Rhinolophus ferrumequinum: one gene and its partner. The protein of the gene in region 2 purifies or fractionates together with the protein of the main gene of each other region. This does not show direct contact. Links are inferred from orthologs where the notes say so. Each region holds a gene or a part of one and is shown on either strand. Other genes may lie near its edges.

The links.
Region 1: the proteins of ZRANB1 (region 2) and STRN purify together in Homo sapiens (affinity purification with mass spectrometry; 4 studies listed by BioGRID and IntAct, with this or other methods). This does not show direct contact. The link is inferred for Rhinolophus ferrumequinum from reciprocal best matches to the Homo sapiens genes ZRANB1 and STRN.

Annotation. Positions count from the first base shown.
Region 1 is NC_046296.1:46,312,703-46,320,105, reverse strand, and holds the start of STRN (striatin), read right to left. Parts: upstream 3,085-7,403; 5' UTR 2,941-3,084; coding exon 2,707-2,940; intron 1-2,706. UniProt on the Homo sapiens protein: Calmodulin-binding scaffolding protein which is the center of the striatin-interacting phosphatase and kinase (STRIPAK) complexes.
Region 2 is NC_046299.1:6,009,292-6,016,309, forward strand, and holds the start of ZRANB1 (ubiquitin thioesterase ZRANB1), read right to left. Parts: upstream 3,078-7,018; 5' UTR 2,689-3,077; intron 1-2,688. UniProt on the Homo sapiens protein: Ubiquitin thioesterase, which specifically hydrolyzes 'Lys-29'-linked and 'Lys-33'-linked diubiquitin. Also cleaves 'Lys-63'-linked chains, but with 40-fold less efficiency compared to 'Lys-29'-linked ones.

The sequences.
Region 1 (7,403 bases), on a different chromosome or scaffold from region 2:
CCCCACTCACTGCTAGCTGCTCTCTTGTGCTAGTCTAAGAAAATTTAAACCCCCCAAATAATAAATACTCCGATTCTTATGCATTTTGTTTGTTCTATCACTCCAACTAGACTGCATGTTTCTTTGAGGTCATCTAGCCCATTGTAGCACACACAGAAAATTCTCTCGAATTTTATGTATCCCATCTCCAAGTTTTTTCACAAATATAAACCTCAGCAATAATCTTGACCATTCTTTGACCACCTACTCTCACCTGCAATGGTGGTGGTTAGGGAGGAGGGGGATTATGAAAAGTAAAAAGAGAGTCTTATTAACTAAGATGGGCAAAGGGGAAGAAATGACAAATAAGTTTTGGTATAATGTGGCCAGTTCCTTATTCCCAAGATCTGAAGGAGGAAGTGATGAAGGCAGACCAGGTAGATAGCTGAGAGCGTGGATTGTCTTTCACAATTCTGACCTGGCAACCTGAAAAAGCAGGACTGACAGGTTCCTGAAGGGACACATTAGACTTAATCTTAAAGGTATTTTTGTTGACTTTGATGTTAATGACTTGAGAAGAGATTTTAAATTTAAAAAAAGGACACCAACTGATCCAAATTTCATCATCACTCATTCAACTCTTACTTCCTATTGTTTTTCCAGGAAAATTCCAATCGCAAAAGAAAAATGAAGGAATATGTTCAAATTTAACGATGTCAATGTAAAGAAATTATTTTTAAAATATAGTTTCAATAATGCTAATACGGGGATCAAAACCATAGATTTCTGCAAACTCTCTCCCCCTCTAAAAGACATAATACTTGCTCTGTTTGGAAAATAGGATGTATTTTTTAAAGTTCCTCTGTGGATGCTTAATTTGAGCACAAACCCAAAACCAAAAAATACTGTAGAAATGTAGTGTCCTTAATATGATGAGTACCAATGGGAAACCTACCTTAAGTTTAACATTTGCCATAAATAACCCCGTAAGTGGTGTGTGTGTGTTCAACAACTGAACAATGTTAAAATTAACACCTGCCTTTAACACTTCCTTTAAGTCTGAAATCCACAAGTTCATTTATGGAATGCACTTCTAACAAAGGTGAATTACCAATATTTGAATGAAGCATTTAAGTCTGCTGGTTACTATACTGACACGGTCAGATTCACTACAAGAAAAATTACAAATTATCAAAAGACCAGATACAAAAGCAACATAATAGTAGGGATGAAAAAGCCACCAAATATAAACATACAACTGCAGAACTAAAGGAATCAGAAGGAATCTTAGAAATTGTGGGTCACTTCTTCACTTCCTTCCACTCCTCCCAGAGGCCTTCCCTGACCACCCCCTCTAAAATAGCTGCCCCTATCACACTTTATTCCTGTATCCTGAATTATCTTTCTCAAAGCAGTTGCCACTATGGCAACTGAATGAAGAAACTGAAGTTCAGAGAGGTTAAAGGATTTCCTCAAGGTCACAGAGCTAGCAGCAAGCACAGTCCATACTATAACCCTGTCTACTATAACCTGTCCCCTTGCTCTTTCCATTGCCACTTGCACTGTATCAAAGCATCCTGTTCCAGCAGATTCTATTTAACAGATTTCTCCTTTTCATTTTTTTAAGTGCCAAGGAAAATACATGTTACCAAAAAAAGAGTAACAAACACTGGGTAGCATTTTAACTACAAGTGTTTCACCAACCAAAACAACGTATATTCAGATTTCATCAGCATACAGGATTAGCCAGTAAAACAGAAAGGCACAGCTACGCATAGTTAGGTTCCCTGTGAAATTGGTGCATGGCTTGGAAGTTGTAAGAACAGCCACTGAAACCTATTTACCAATTCAGAATGGCCCGTAAAGTATCAGCCTCACTTTCATTCTTCTAAGAGCCCACAATAGGTCCTCCCTGGATATACTTTTACCTTGCAGATTATACAAGGAAATGTAACCAACTTTAAAGCCCCTTTTAGTTCCTTTTGAAGTGAACGTCAATTTCACAAAACACTGAACATAAAATTAATCCTTGGGAAGTTTTTGATTCTAAGAACAGGAAACCATCTCTGAACCATCATCTGATTGCGATTATCTAGGTTCTTCATTTTAAAATCCACGAATCTGAAATACCTAAAGGAAAAGTGGCAGCAGGGAGAGGGAGAGGGAAAGAGAAAAAACACTCACATATGTAAGAAGGGAGCTGATATTCCTAGTTACACTTCTGCCCTACGTCAGCTTCTTGCCTAAGTCAAGGCCTCACAGACACAACTTCTGATGTCTTCTTTGATCACCTTCCTCTCAGAGAGGAGCCAACTGCCAATACCTACGGCGGGGAACGTCTCTAGACCTAAGATGGGACTCACTGGGACAGGATGATTTGCTCGACATCTTTCAAAACTACTGTCAGCCCAATTAGTATACTCAGAGAGAAGACCTAAAATGAGGGATGGCAAGAGTTGAAATGAGAGAGTTAGGAGAAGGAAGGAGTAGAAGAAAAGGAGCGGGGAGGGTAAACAACGCGTCAGGGCGGGAATGGGAACCCGAGTCAAGGAAGTGGGGTCAGCCTAAAGCAAAGGTGAAGGGGGAAGGGGACAGTTCTGGGTAGGATGGGCAGGAGCAAAGGGGAGTGGACCAGCGAGGGCAGAGGGGGGAGGGGAAAGGGTCCGGGGCGGGGCGGAAGAGAGCAAAGAGGCGGGATAAAAAGGGCCAGGCCGGGAGGGTCTTTACCTGCAGCTCCGCCCGCTCCACCTCCCACTGGGCTCTCTCCACCTCGAAGCGGGCCCACTCATGCTGGAGGAAATGCAGGATCCCGGGTAAGCTGTACTGGGCTCGGGCCGCCCCTGCCGCAGCCGCCCCGTCGCCGGCCGCTGCAGCCTCCGCCAGAGGCCCGAGACCCTTGGCACCGCCGGCGCCCGGATGGTTGTTGCTGAAGAAGACTCCGGGACCCGCTTGCTCGTCCATGGCGGCCGCGGAAACCTGGGGTGCTGCCCAGGCGCCCAGCAGCGGAGGCAACGGCGGCGGCCAGCAGCGCCTCCTCCTCCCTCCGCCGCTCCCCGCCCACACCCCAGTCAGCAGGGAGCAGCCGCCTGGGCGCGGGGGCCGGCCGAGCCCGGGACGGGCCGGGAAATGGGTCAACTGCGGCGCGCGGGCGCCCTGCGGCCTGCTGGGAAATGTAGTCGCGGGGCGGGGCGACGGCGAGCGTGGCTGAGGCGGCCTGTGGGGCTGCGGAAGGCTCCGACGCGCCGCGGCCCCGCCCCTGCCCGCGGCGGTGGGGACCCGCCCCTCCGCGAGTGCAGGTTTCCTCACAGGTGGGGCAGGACGGGGCGCGGCAGGGCGACACTTCGGGGTCCGTCGCACGCGGAAGTTCACGGGTGGCGCTCCTTGTTGCACACACAGGCACACACACGCACACACGGAAGTTAGGCCAACACACACACACACACACGGAAGTTATCAGGCTGAAATATCAGCCCGTACTGCACATCTTTTAGGGCTTGCTGATAGTTCTGTTAAGAAACAAGCTCAAAGCAAGCTTCTCTGGGCCGGCCCGTGGACGGAGTTTCTTCAGCCTCTCCCTTGGGCTCTGACTTTGGTTTTTCTCTGACCCTAGACACTCCTCAGTTCTGCCAATCTGCGTATCGCTGTCGCTCCTCTTTTTCAGTTGGGGGTTCAAACCTGTTGCCTGATCAGTTTTCAAGGAACTCTCATGACCTCTCTTTCCTGTTCTGGTTGGTTGACATCTCATCTGAAAAAGTGCTCCGTTGAAGTCCCTTTCCCTTTGTAGTTAATCTTGCAGTAAATCTTTTAAAAAGTTTCAGATATCCAAGGTGATGTTATTCTGGTCTCTTTTTCCCTACCTTATGCCCGCGCAGTTTTTGCTCAAGTCAATTCAACAAATACTTAATTGTCGGTTATATCTGTCGCTAGGGATATAAAGATAAGTGACACAGTTCCTGTCATCAAAGGGAGGTTGGCAAGTATATAATCAATCTCACAGTGACTTAAAGCTATACTACTCGAAAGAACAAAGTCCCTTTCTGCTCCCTAGAAATGTTTTAGGTCTCCGGGCATTTCTCTCTTTTCACTTGTCCAGTTTCCAGTTTCGTCCACCGTTCACCTACAAACTAGCAACAGTATTAGCCTACCAAAGGCACACTAAAGTTCTTGAAGGTGTTTCTCTGTAAATATTATCTTTCCCTGAAGTCCCTGAAATTATGTCACTATATAAATTCACCCAATGCAAGGAACTCGCTTGAAAAAAAATATAGCAAATAAAATTAAGGACTCATTCTCTCTCCAAAATAATTTATTTGTAATTTTTTAGTTTTGTGGGATGGACTTCTGGGATATCAGACCCAGTGGCCATGAAAAAATTATATAGGCTGGTGAGTGACATGCCAGGGAAGGATATCCTGCCCCTGTCCCTGTCCTCTTCCCACCTCCCTTTCCATGACTACTTGTGGAAAGAACAGGAAACACATTGTATCTGCTCTAGTTGCAAATCAAGATGGCAAGTTTTGTTCTCCCACTTGTTGAATGTTTGTGCTTTATTCATTCTTTATTGTAATAAAAATTTGATCCAAGCCTGGCCAAATCACCAGTGTCATAAATTATTTTGGCTGTAAGTGGCCTTTGAGATACTGCCCAATCCTCTCATTTTACAGTTGAAGAAACTGAAGTCCAAAGAAGTTGAGACTTGTCCACAATCAGGCTTTGAGCAAGTGGCACAGCCAAAACTAGAAACCAGAATTCCTGACTGCTAGTTCATTGATCTTTCCTTTAACATGCTGCTTTCTCTCTTACTTATCAGACCTATCAGAGTATCAAGGGAGCAATAATGCAACAATGGTATATTTTTTTTATTTGAAGGATTTAAGTAATCTTAGAAGTTTTGAATGTTAAAAGTTGTTTTTCTCTAATAGAATACATATCTGACGATTCCTTTAAATTCCTAACACTAGTAAACATAATTAAATTTAATGGTTTAAGAACCCATAAGTCCTTTAGCTAGCCTCACCAAGAAAAAAAAGAGAACTCAAATAAAATCAGAAATGAAAGGAGATATTACAACTGTTACCACAGAAATAGAAAGGATCAAGAGACTACTATGAACAATTATAGGTCAAATTGTACAACCTAGAAGAAATGGATAAGTTTCTAGAAACATACAACCTACCAAGACAGAATCATGAAGAAACAGAGAAGCTGAATAGACCAAAAACTAATAGAGAGCTTGAATCAGTAATCAAATGCCTCCCAACAAACAAAAGTCAAGGACCAGATGGCTTCACAGGTGAATTCTACCAAACATCCAAAGAAGAATTAATACCAGTAATTCTCAAACTCTTCCAAAAAATAGAAATGGAAGGAACTTTTCCAAACTCATTTTATAAGGGCAGCATTACCCTGATTCCAATACTAGTTAAGGTTACCACAAGAAAAGAATATTAGGCTAATATCCCTGATGAACACAGATGCAAAAATCCTCAACAAACTATTAGCAAAGCAAATAAAACGATACATTAAAAGGATCAAACAGGGGGCCGGCCCGGTGGCTCAGGCGGTTGGAGCTCCGTGCTCCTAATGCCGAAGGCTGACGGTTCAATTCCCACATGGGCCAGTGGGCTCTCAACCACAAGGTTGTAGGTTCGATTCCTTGACTCCCACAAGGGATGGTGGGCTGCGCCCCCTGCAACTAGCAACGGCAACTGGACCTGGAGCTGAGCTGTGCCCTGCACAACTAAGATTGAAAGGACAACAACTTGACTTGGAAAAAGTCCTGGAAATACACACTGTTCCCCAATAAAATCCTGTTCTCCTTCCCCAATAAAATCTTTAAAAAAAAAAAAAAAAAAAGGATCAAACACCATTATTAAGTGGGATTTATTCCAGGGAGGCAAGGCTGGTTCAGTATCAATAAATCAGTCAATGTGATACGTAACATTAACAAAATGAAGGATAAAAATCATGATCATCTTAATAGATGCAAAAGAAGCATTTGACAAAATTCAACATCGATTTATGATAACAAAGTGGGCATAAATGAAACACTTCAATATAACGAAGGCCATATATAACAAGCCCACAATGAACATCATTCCCTACAGTGAGAAGCTGAAAGCTTTTCCTCTAAGATCGGGAACAAGAGAAGAATATCCATTGTTGCCACTTTTATTCAATATGGTATTGGAAGTCCTAGCCAGAGCAATTAGGAAAGTAAAAGAATTGAAAGTCCTCCAAGCTGGAAAGGAAGAAGTACAACTGTCCCTATTTGCAGATGATATGATATAAACAAAAAACCATAAACATTCCTTCAAAAAACTATTAGAAGTAATAAATGAATTCAGTAATTTGCAGGATACAAAATGAATACACAAAAATCTGTTGTGTTTACACTAGCAATGAACTATCATTGTGTACACTAACAATGAACTATCAGAAAGAAATGAAGAAAACAATCCCATTTGCAATTGCGTCAAAAGTAATAAAATACAGGTAAATTTAACCAAGGTGAAAGAGTGGTATACCAAAAACTATAAGATATTACGGAAAGAAATTGAAGAAGACACAAATAAGTGGAAAAATACTCCATGCTCATGGATTTGGAGACTTAATATTGTTAAAATGTGCACATTACCCAAAGCAATCTACAGATTCAATGTAATCCCTGTCAAAATACCAATGACATTTTTCATAGAAATAGAACAAACCTAAAATTTATATGGAACCACAAAAGACCTGTGAATTTTTCCCCCTTTGTGCTTATGTCTTTCACATTTTCTGTATTCAGCATGAAGTACTTTTTAAAGAACATTTTATCACATATAACAGAGAAAATCTCACAAGTGATAAGTGAACACCTCAGTGAACGTTCACAAACTGAATGAATCCTTACATATAACCACCGCCCAGATCATGAAACATTTCAGGAATCCCAGAAGACTCTCTCGATGAGCATTCACAAACACTACAGCAAAATGTTTTTAAATTTGAAAAAAAAATTCTGAAAAAATAGCTAGAAAGGACATGACATTTATAATTAGTTAAACCTAAATTATCTTCCCCACTCTACACTTTTCCAAATGGGAACATCTTGGACAAATGGCTTAACCTTTTTCTGCTGCAAGTCTCTCATTTTTAATATGAGAATAATATTTACCTTATAAAGTCACTATGAGATTAAATGAGAGAAGAAATGTAAATTCCCTAGCATAGGGCCTCACATACAATATACAGTGAAAAGTGATAGCTATTATTGTAATAGAGTTCACACGACTGAAATCACACATGTAAAATTCATAAATACTAGGGGCTTAACCATTATTCTTTTTTCTTTCTCATTCCTTATTCAGAACTTTAATTCAGCAGAATTAAAATAATCTTTTAAAACATTAATGTGTATGCCCAACCAGTAAGCCTCAGAC
Region 2 (7,018 bases):
TTGATCATTATCAAAATGTTGAGCATCCTCTATAGGAAGAGCCGTGCTGATAATAAAAAAAATTGTTAGAGAGCCATAATTTCAAATATTTTGTCCTAAAGCAACAAAATCCCAGAAACTCCAATACTTAGAACAGTACAAACTGCACATCCTATAATACCTCTATAACCAAAAATACTTTGTCAGACCGCATATGCATACTTTCAGTACTGAATATATGGTCTCCATAGATACAGGATTTAGGGTTCATATCATTTCTCAGAGGTCTTAAAACCTGAATTGGGAAGCAGAATAAAGATATAAAGAGAGAAACTGAAATCCAGGGTAGCATCTGCTAAGGAAAAACCAAAAACAACAAAAGACAAAAGAGTCCCACACGAGCGAGCAGTGAATGGATCCACTGGGGTTGGTTCAAGTAGTCAAAAAGGCTTCTAAAGAGACAGGAATCAACTGGGCCCAGAGTAAAGAATATCCATGAAAACAAGCGGAAGAGGGTTTCAAACAGAAAGAATGGCGTAAAAAAAGGCCAAAAGGAGGCACTTCACAGGAACAACAAACAAGTTAGTTTGGCTAAAACTAAGGATGCACAAGGGAAGAAATAAGAGTTGAGTCTGAAGACTGGATCGGGGCAGCTTACAGACAAACTTGAACACCACACCAAGGAACTTCAACTTTGCATGTAATAAGCAGTGTTCTGCAAGTTTTTATGTTGTGATGTGAGGATGTGAGAGTGTTAAAATGTGCACGATCTTATTTACCAAAGCCCAAGCAGAGCACAAATATTCCAAACGAAACGCCACATCAGTGAGAGAAAACATGTTCAAAGCCCAAGTACAAGAACTTATTATTGGGGGACGAGGGACATGAGCAGCAGTCCTCAAAAAGTAACAGTGAACCAAGTTAAATACAAAGTTACAGTGGTCTACTTTTGCAACTCCCACTTAAAGTTTCCATTTATTATAAAAGCAATGTAAGTATAAAGCATGTTGAACAGCTCTCACTGTATCAATCACGGGGGGGGGGGGCAATTTACCTCAAATATTGTACAACTAGATTGTGAATTCCAAATCTATATTAATCCTCAGACTTTTAAATGTGTATGCCATAACCCTTATCAGTGTACAGAGCTGGATCAAGGCCATAAGCTTAAAATTTACCATCAGGAATGACGTCATACTAACCCAAGCACATTTTGAGAGTAAATAAATGGGTGTCCCAATGCTCCCAGTGATAAAAGGTGTTGAAACATCAACAGAAACAGAAATCCCTGACAGTCAAATAATATCCTCCCCAAAGATTAAAGTGTCTCATTACTATCCTCTTAGTCTCCATAATAGCCCAATAAAAACAATGTTATGAAATTTTAGTACAAGGTGACTGCATATATTGTCATAAGATCCAAAAATCAGTGGGGAACAGGGGTCTCCATTTCTTTATAATTACCTCATATAATTGATAATAATAATAATAATAATCAGGAAGAGATCCAGCTTTATTTTTCACAGTTTAGGTGACTTTCCCAAGGCCCCTGGCATAAGCCAAGATCAAAATTCCTTATGGTTCCCCCTGCCTTATAGTTTGCACACTGAGTCATCCATGTTTGATCCAAACAGGGGTACCCTTAGGGTCGCCCAAGTGATAAAGAAGTCAGCTAAAAAGAGATCACTAACAGAAGAACCACTCATTATATAACATATCCAAGAGCTAAAGATTTCTCTTCGATTGTGTTCCTAAAACGATAGTTTTGTACATTAAATTTACTGACACCATCGATTTTACTTTGAGCAGACAGACCAAAATATTGGGTAGAGGGGACGGCGTGTGACCTGATAGTCTACCAAGTTATGGAAAAGGGAAATCAACTGACTGAAATTTCAAAATTCTCAACAAGACAGTTTCAAAACACCAGTGTATCTCGCAGATCAAGGGCCGGTTCAAACTTCCAGGCTGAACCTAAACTGCCTGTCCCTTGTGCTTAATGCAAGTATTCATTACAGTCCTTTTGTCTGGGAAACGACCCACACATCAAGCCACGGTAGAGAAGAGAAAATAACAGGTACTTGTACGGAACAATCATTATTGGGAGCGAGACGGTCGTCAATCTTCGCACTAGTTGCAGCCCCTCCAGCCCACCCGTCCCCCACCCCACACACCTTTATTTTCTTAAGACAGAAATGGCAGCAACTGAGGCTACCACGGGAGGGGAGGGGAGGAACCGGCCAAGAGACCGAAATACAAGTTTGGAGACCAGCACCAACTTGTGGCGATGGACCCAAGTATTCTAGGGCCTGCTACAGAGTGGGAGCGAAACCCCACTCACGCCCCCTCCCCCCGTAGGTGGCAGGAAAAGATGGGGGAGGGGGAGAATCTGGCGGAAGAGAGGTGGCAGGGCAGGCAGGGAGTCCAGCCGCAGGAGATCCATGGTCGGTAAACAAGCCGGGCGGACCCACCCTCCCACAGCCTGGGGCCTGTTCCCGCACCCGCACTGGGAAAGCCCAAGATGAAAGCACGGCGGTAGCAGATCGTGGCCCCTTCCCGGCCCTGGCCTCCTCTAGCCTACGACACCGCCCCGGGGGTCGCGAGGGGGCGGCCCAGGACACCCGGGCGCCACCAGGAGCGAGGGGCCCGGCAGGCCGCCATGGGGGCCGCCAGGGGCCTACGGCGAGGCGCCCACCCGGGCCCGATTACCTGGCGGTGGCGGCGGCTCCTCCTCCAGCTCCTGCTCCTCCTCCCAGTCCGATGCTCGGCGTCCGGCGGCAGCGGCGACTCCCCGAGCAGCCCGCGGCGAAGAGCCGAGCCGGGCCCCTCTCCGCCTCCCTCCGTGCCGCCTCCGCCCTCCCCCCTCAGTCAGGACATGGTCTCCGTGGGCCGCGCACGGCTCCCGACTGCCGGAGACCGGGGCAGAGGGGCAGAGAGCAGGCGCGGAGGCGAGGGGGCCCCGAGGGGGAGGGGGAGCAGAGGAAGGGGGCGTCCTCGGGCGCTGCGGGCTCCTAATGGCGGCGGTGAGGGGCTCTGGAGCCAAATAAACTCCACAGCGAGCAGCACAACGTCAAGGCCGGACTCCACCGCTCGCCGCCCTATCATTGGCCCGGAGGCCGCCAGCGGCGCAGCCAATGGGCGGCCGCTTCTTTCCCGGAGCAGTAGGCGGGCCGCGGAAAGGTGACGTCAGGCCGGCGCCCGGCCCTGATTGTGAGGCGGCGGCGATCCTGGGCTGTGGACCCTCGGCCGCCTGCGGGGGACGCTGGGAGGTGACAGGGCGGCCCTGCGTGCACGGGCTGGAGGAACGCGCACGGCGCGGCCCGGAGGGCGTTCTCGCGCGGCGGTCCGACTCGCTTTGCCTCCTCTGCAACAGACGCGCCAGACTAATAAACCAACCCCCGAGTCTCGCCTCCCAAGGGGCCACTTATGGCAGATTCTGCTTCAGCTTTTCTTATAGATTCAATCTCTTTATAAGGCAGCAGGGAAGATAAATGTTTCAGTTGATTGTGGTAGTTTTTTATGTCCGTTTTTTACCCTCGAGTTGGTGTGGATGTGTATTTATAACATATATTACACGTGTACGTACGTATATGCATGATGAAAAGCCATGGAGTGATATGCCAATTCTCTCAAAATAATTATTTTTTAAAAGAAAAGCTCTTTCTTTTCTACTTCTAGCTCTGCTTTTCGGTAAACTCAATTTTCTCCTGGTTGTCTTTTCTGTAACGGGAGATGGTTACATTTTATGTAAATTTAAGGCAGAGAATAAATTACAGCCATGGAAAAAATACTGCAGGGAGAGTTCCCAGAGCCCAAGTTATAAAGATAATATGTTAAATGGTGATGTATTTTGTGCATTTCCTTTATTTCTGTAAATACAGTCAAAGAGTCTTAAGTCATTTAGCCATTTGTTAAAAACCCCAGAAGTGTGTTAATTTTTCCAGCCGGAGAGCTTTGCCTTGCATTTTCCATACTTCAAATTTTATTTCAAGAATTTGAAAGACCATAAAACAGCAACTCTTTAAAACTTCTAATCCTCTTTAAAAGTTATCTATTGAAGAATTATAGTGCTCTCATAGGGCATTTAGCAGTTGTGCTGGACCCCTCAATTTAAATAGAAAGAATGTGTAACTCACTTTAACTGGATTTTTAAAATTTGGAGGGAGACTGTAAGTAAAACTATTCATGGTACTAGTCTGAGTCTCTTTGCATAAATATGGCACAAGAGTGTAGAGCTTCCCTACGGGCACTGAAGAATAATACCTTATACTGCTTTCTCTCACCAGCCACCTCTTCCATAATCACCGGTATATTTCATCCTCACAGCCATTCCTGTGATAGATTTTCAATAATCCCCATCTTCCCGGAGCAATGTTATTATTTGCTCAAGGACTCCTCAATGAATTGTTTATTTATTTTAAACTGCAACAGTTTAAACTGCAACAGTCATTTGCCTACAAAACTTCGTACACATTCTCAGACACATAACACAATTGTAGATAAAACGAAACACCCACGTTATTACGTAAGAACCATGGTTCAACCAACATTTCACTTTGAAAGTATTTTCAGAGCTTCTGAGCACCTCAGCTTCCCCTTCCTAAACCTCAGCTACAAAGCATCTCACCCACAAATTAACAAGAACTGTAGAATTAGGTGTTTTTGTTTAGTTTCAGTTGCAGTTTATTTTGTTAAGGGAAGGGGATATTATTTGAATAAGGCTTATTAACTCTTCATTCAATTTAACAAACCTAAAGTAAGTACCATGTGCCAAGGAACAAGAAACACACACAGATGAGTAAGATATTCTGTGTTTGAGGAACCTGCAGCCGAGGAAACAGGGCAAGACAAAAATAACCATAATTATAACATGAGGTAGAATGTGCTAAGTCAATTCAAATGAAAATTATCTTGTAATTGAAAGGAAGGGCAAATCCCAAAATGACTCTGTTAAAGCTGAAGACACTTGATACAGGTCCAGTGGTTCTCGGCCATGGCTACACATTAGAATTAGCAGAGGAGCTTTTTTCAAAATACCCATATCTGGGCCCCACCCCAGACCTACTGAAACAATCCCCAAGAGATCCTGGGCCTGGCTATGCTTGAAACACATTCCCCAGGTGACTAATATGCAGCCAAGAACTGACAGAGTCCCACCCCCGAGTTTACAAATGTGGAAACTAATGCCTAGAGATTTTAAATGACTTATCAAAAGCCAGATCATCTAGGTTTGGAATTAGAAAACAAAGCTCTTGATTTCCCAAATCTTGTTTCCATTGCACCATATTTGAGTTAAAAATATGTCAACAAGTACAGCAGATAGCGTTGTCAGTTAAGGAACTGATTTGTGCTATTTAGCGCAGAGATTAAATTGTCATTCTCCTTATACATGTTTCTGAGAAATATTTGAGTTCTGAGAAATATTTCACTTGGGAAAATAGTTTGTTTTTTTTTTTTAATTTCTTTTTCTTAGAACCCTTGTACTAAATTGTAAGGACAGTATAATTACATTGACAATTAATTTGTTTTGGCTTTTATTTCAAGTGTTTCCCAAACTACTTGTATAAGATATAATTCCATTTTATTTTTTTTCTGCCTTATTGCGTAGGTCTTGAATGCCAAATTGTGGATCTGTACTTAATTCATTACAAGTAGAGCTAAAAAATATTACTAGGTTTTGAGCAGGAAAGTGCAAGAGATATACCTTAACCTAGAATGTCTGTGAGACAAACTAGGGTAGAATTAGAAACAGGGACAGAGAAACCCATTAAAAGAGACAAAACCTAAAACCAAAGTAGCTGTGGGAAAGGAAAGGAGAGGACAGTAGTGAAATAAGGTGACAGTAGAATATTCTGAGTTTGCCAGTGTCTGAATCTGGGGCCGAAGAAAGACTCAAAAGTCAGAGAACCCTGAATGATAGTGGTGTGATTAACAATGGGAAAACCAAAAGAGGAACTAGATAAGAGAAGATACTGACTACTGGATCAGGTGTGTGGCTATCCTGGGCTCAGGAGGAAATGTGCAGCAAGCAAGGGAAATGCTGGTCTGAAATTTGATAGTCTGGAACTGGAGATAAACTTCAGGGAGTTTTACATAGAGGTTACCATTGAAGCCACAGGAGCGGGAAAGAAAAAGAAAAGCTACCTAAGGAGGAGAAAACAATTGTCAAAAAGAGAGGAGATAAAAAAGGTGTTCTGGAAGCCCAGGGAGTGGTGAGCCTAAAGAACATGGTAATAAACACTGTCAGATTCTACAGCCTCAGAAATCAGAACAGAAAAAAAGTCACTGGGTTTTACAAACAAGAGACCTTCTAGAGAACAGTTCTCAGTAGGATGGTGGGGAGAAAAGCCAGATTTCAAAAGCTGAAGACCTGTGTGGGCAATGAAGCGGTGATTACAGACTACCAGTCCAAGACATCCGGCAAGGAAAGGAGGCAGGAGATACAAGAATAGACACAGGGGGTGACAAGAATGAGGGAAAGGTATTTTTTGTTTTTGTTTGTTTGTTTGTTTTTTTAAGAATGGGCATATCTGAACACTTTTGTAAACAGAAGAGAAGGTGGAGAGGGGGGAAAAAGATTGAAATCCAAAAGGGAGGACACCCAGCACACAGTGATTTGTCTTGGCAAGCATGAGGGCCCTTTCTTCCTCAAAAATAAGAGCAAAGAGGGGCGGCCAGATGGCTCAGTTGTTCAGAGCACAAGCTCTGAACAACAGGGTTGCCAACTCGATTCCCACGTGGGCCAGTGATCTGCGCCCTCCACAACTAGATTGAAGACAACAAGCTGCCACTGAGCTTCCAGAGGAGCAGTCGGATGGCTCAGTTGGTTAGAGCGCAGAGCTCTCAACAAGGTTGCCGGTTCAATTCCCGCACAGGATACTGGGCTGCGCCCCCTGCAATTAAAGATTGTAAATGGCAACTGGACTTGGAGCTGAGCTGTGCCCTCCACAACTAGACTGAAGGACAACTACTTGGAGCTGATGGGCCCTGGAGAAACACACTGTCCCCCAATGTTCCCAATAAAATTTATAAAAAATAA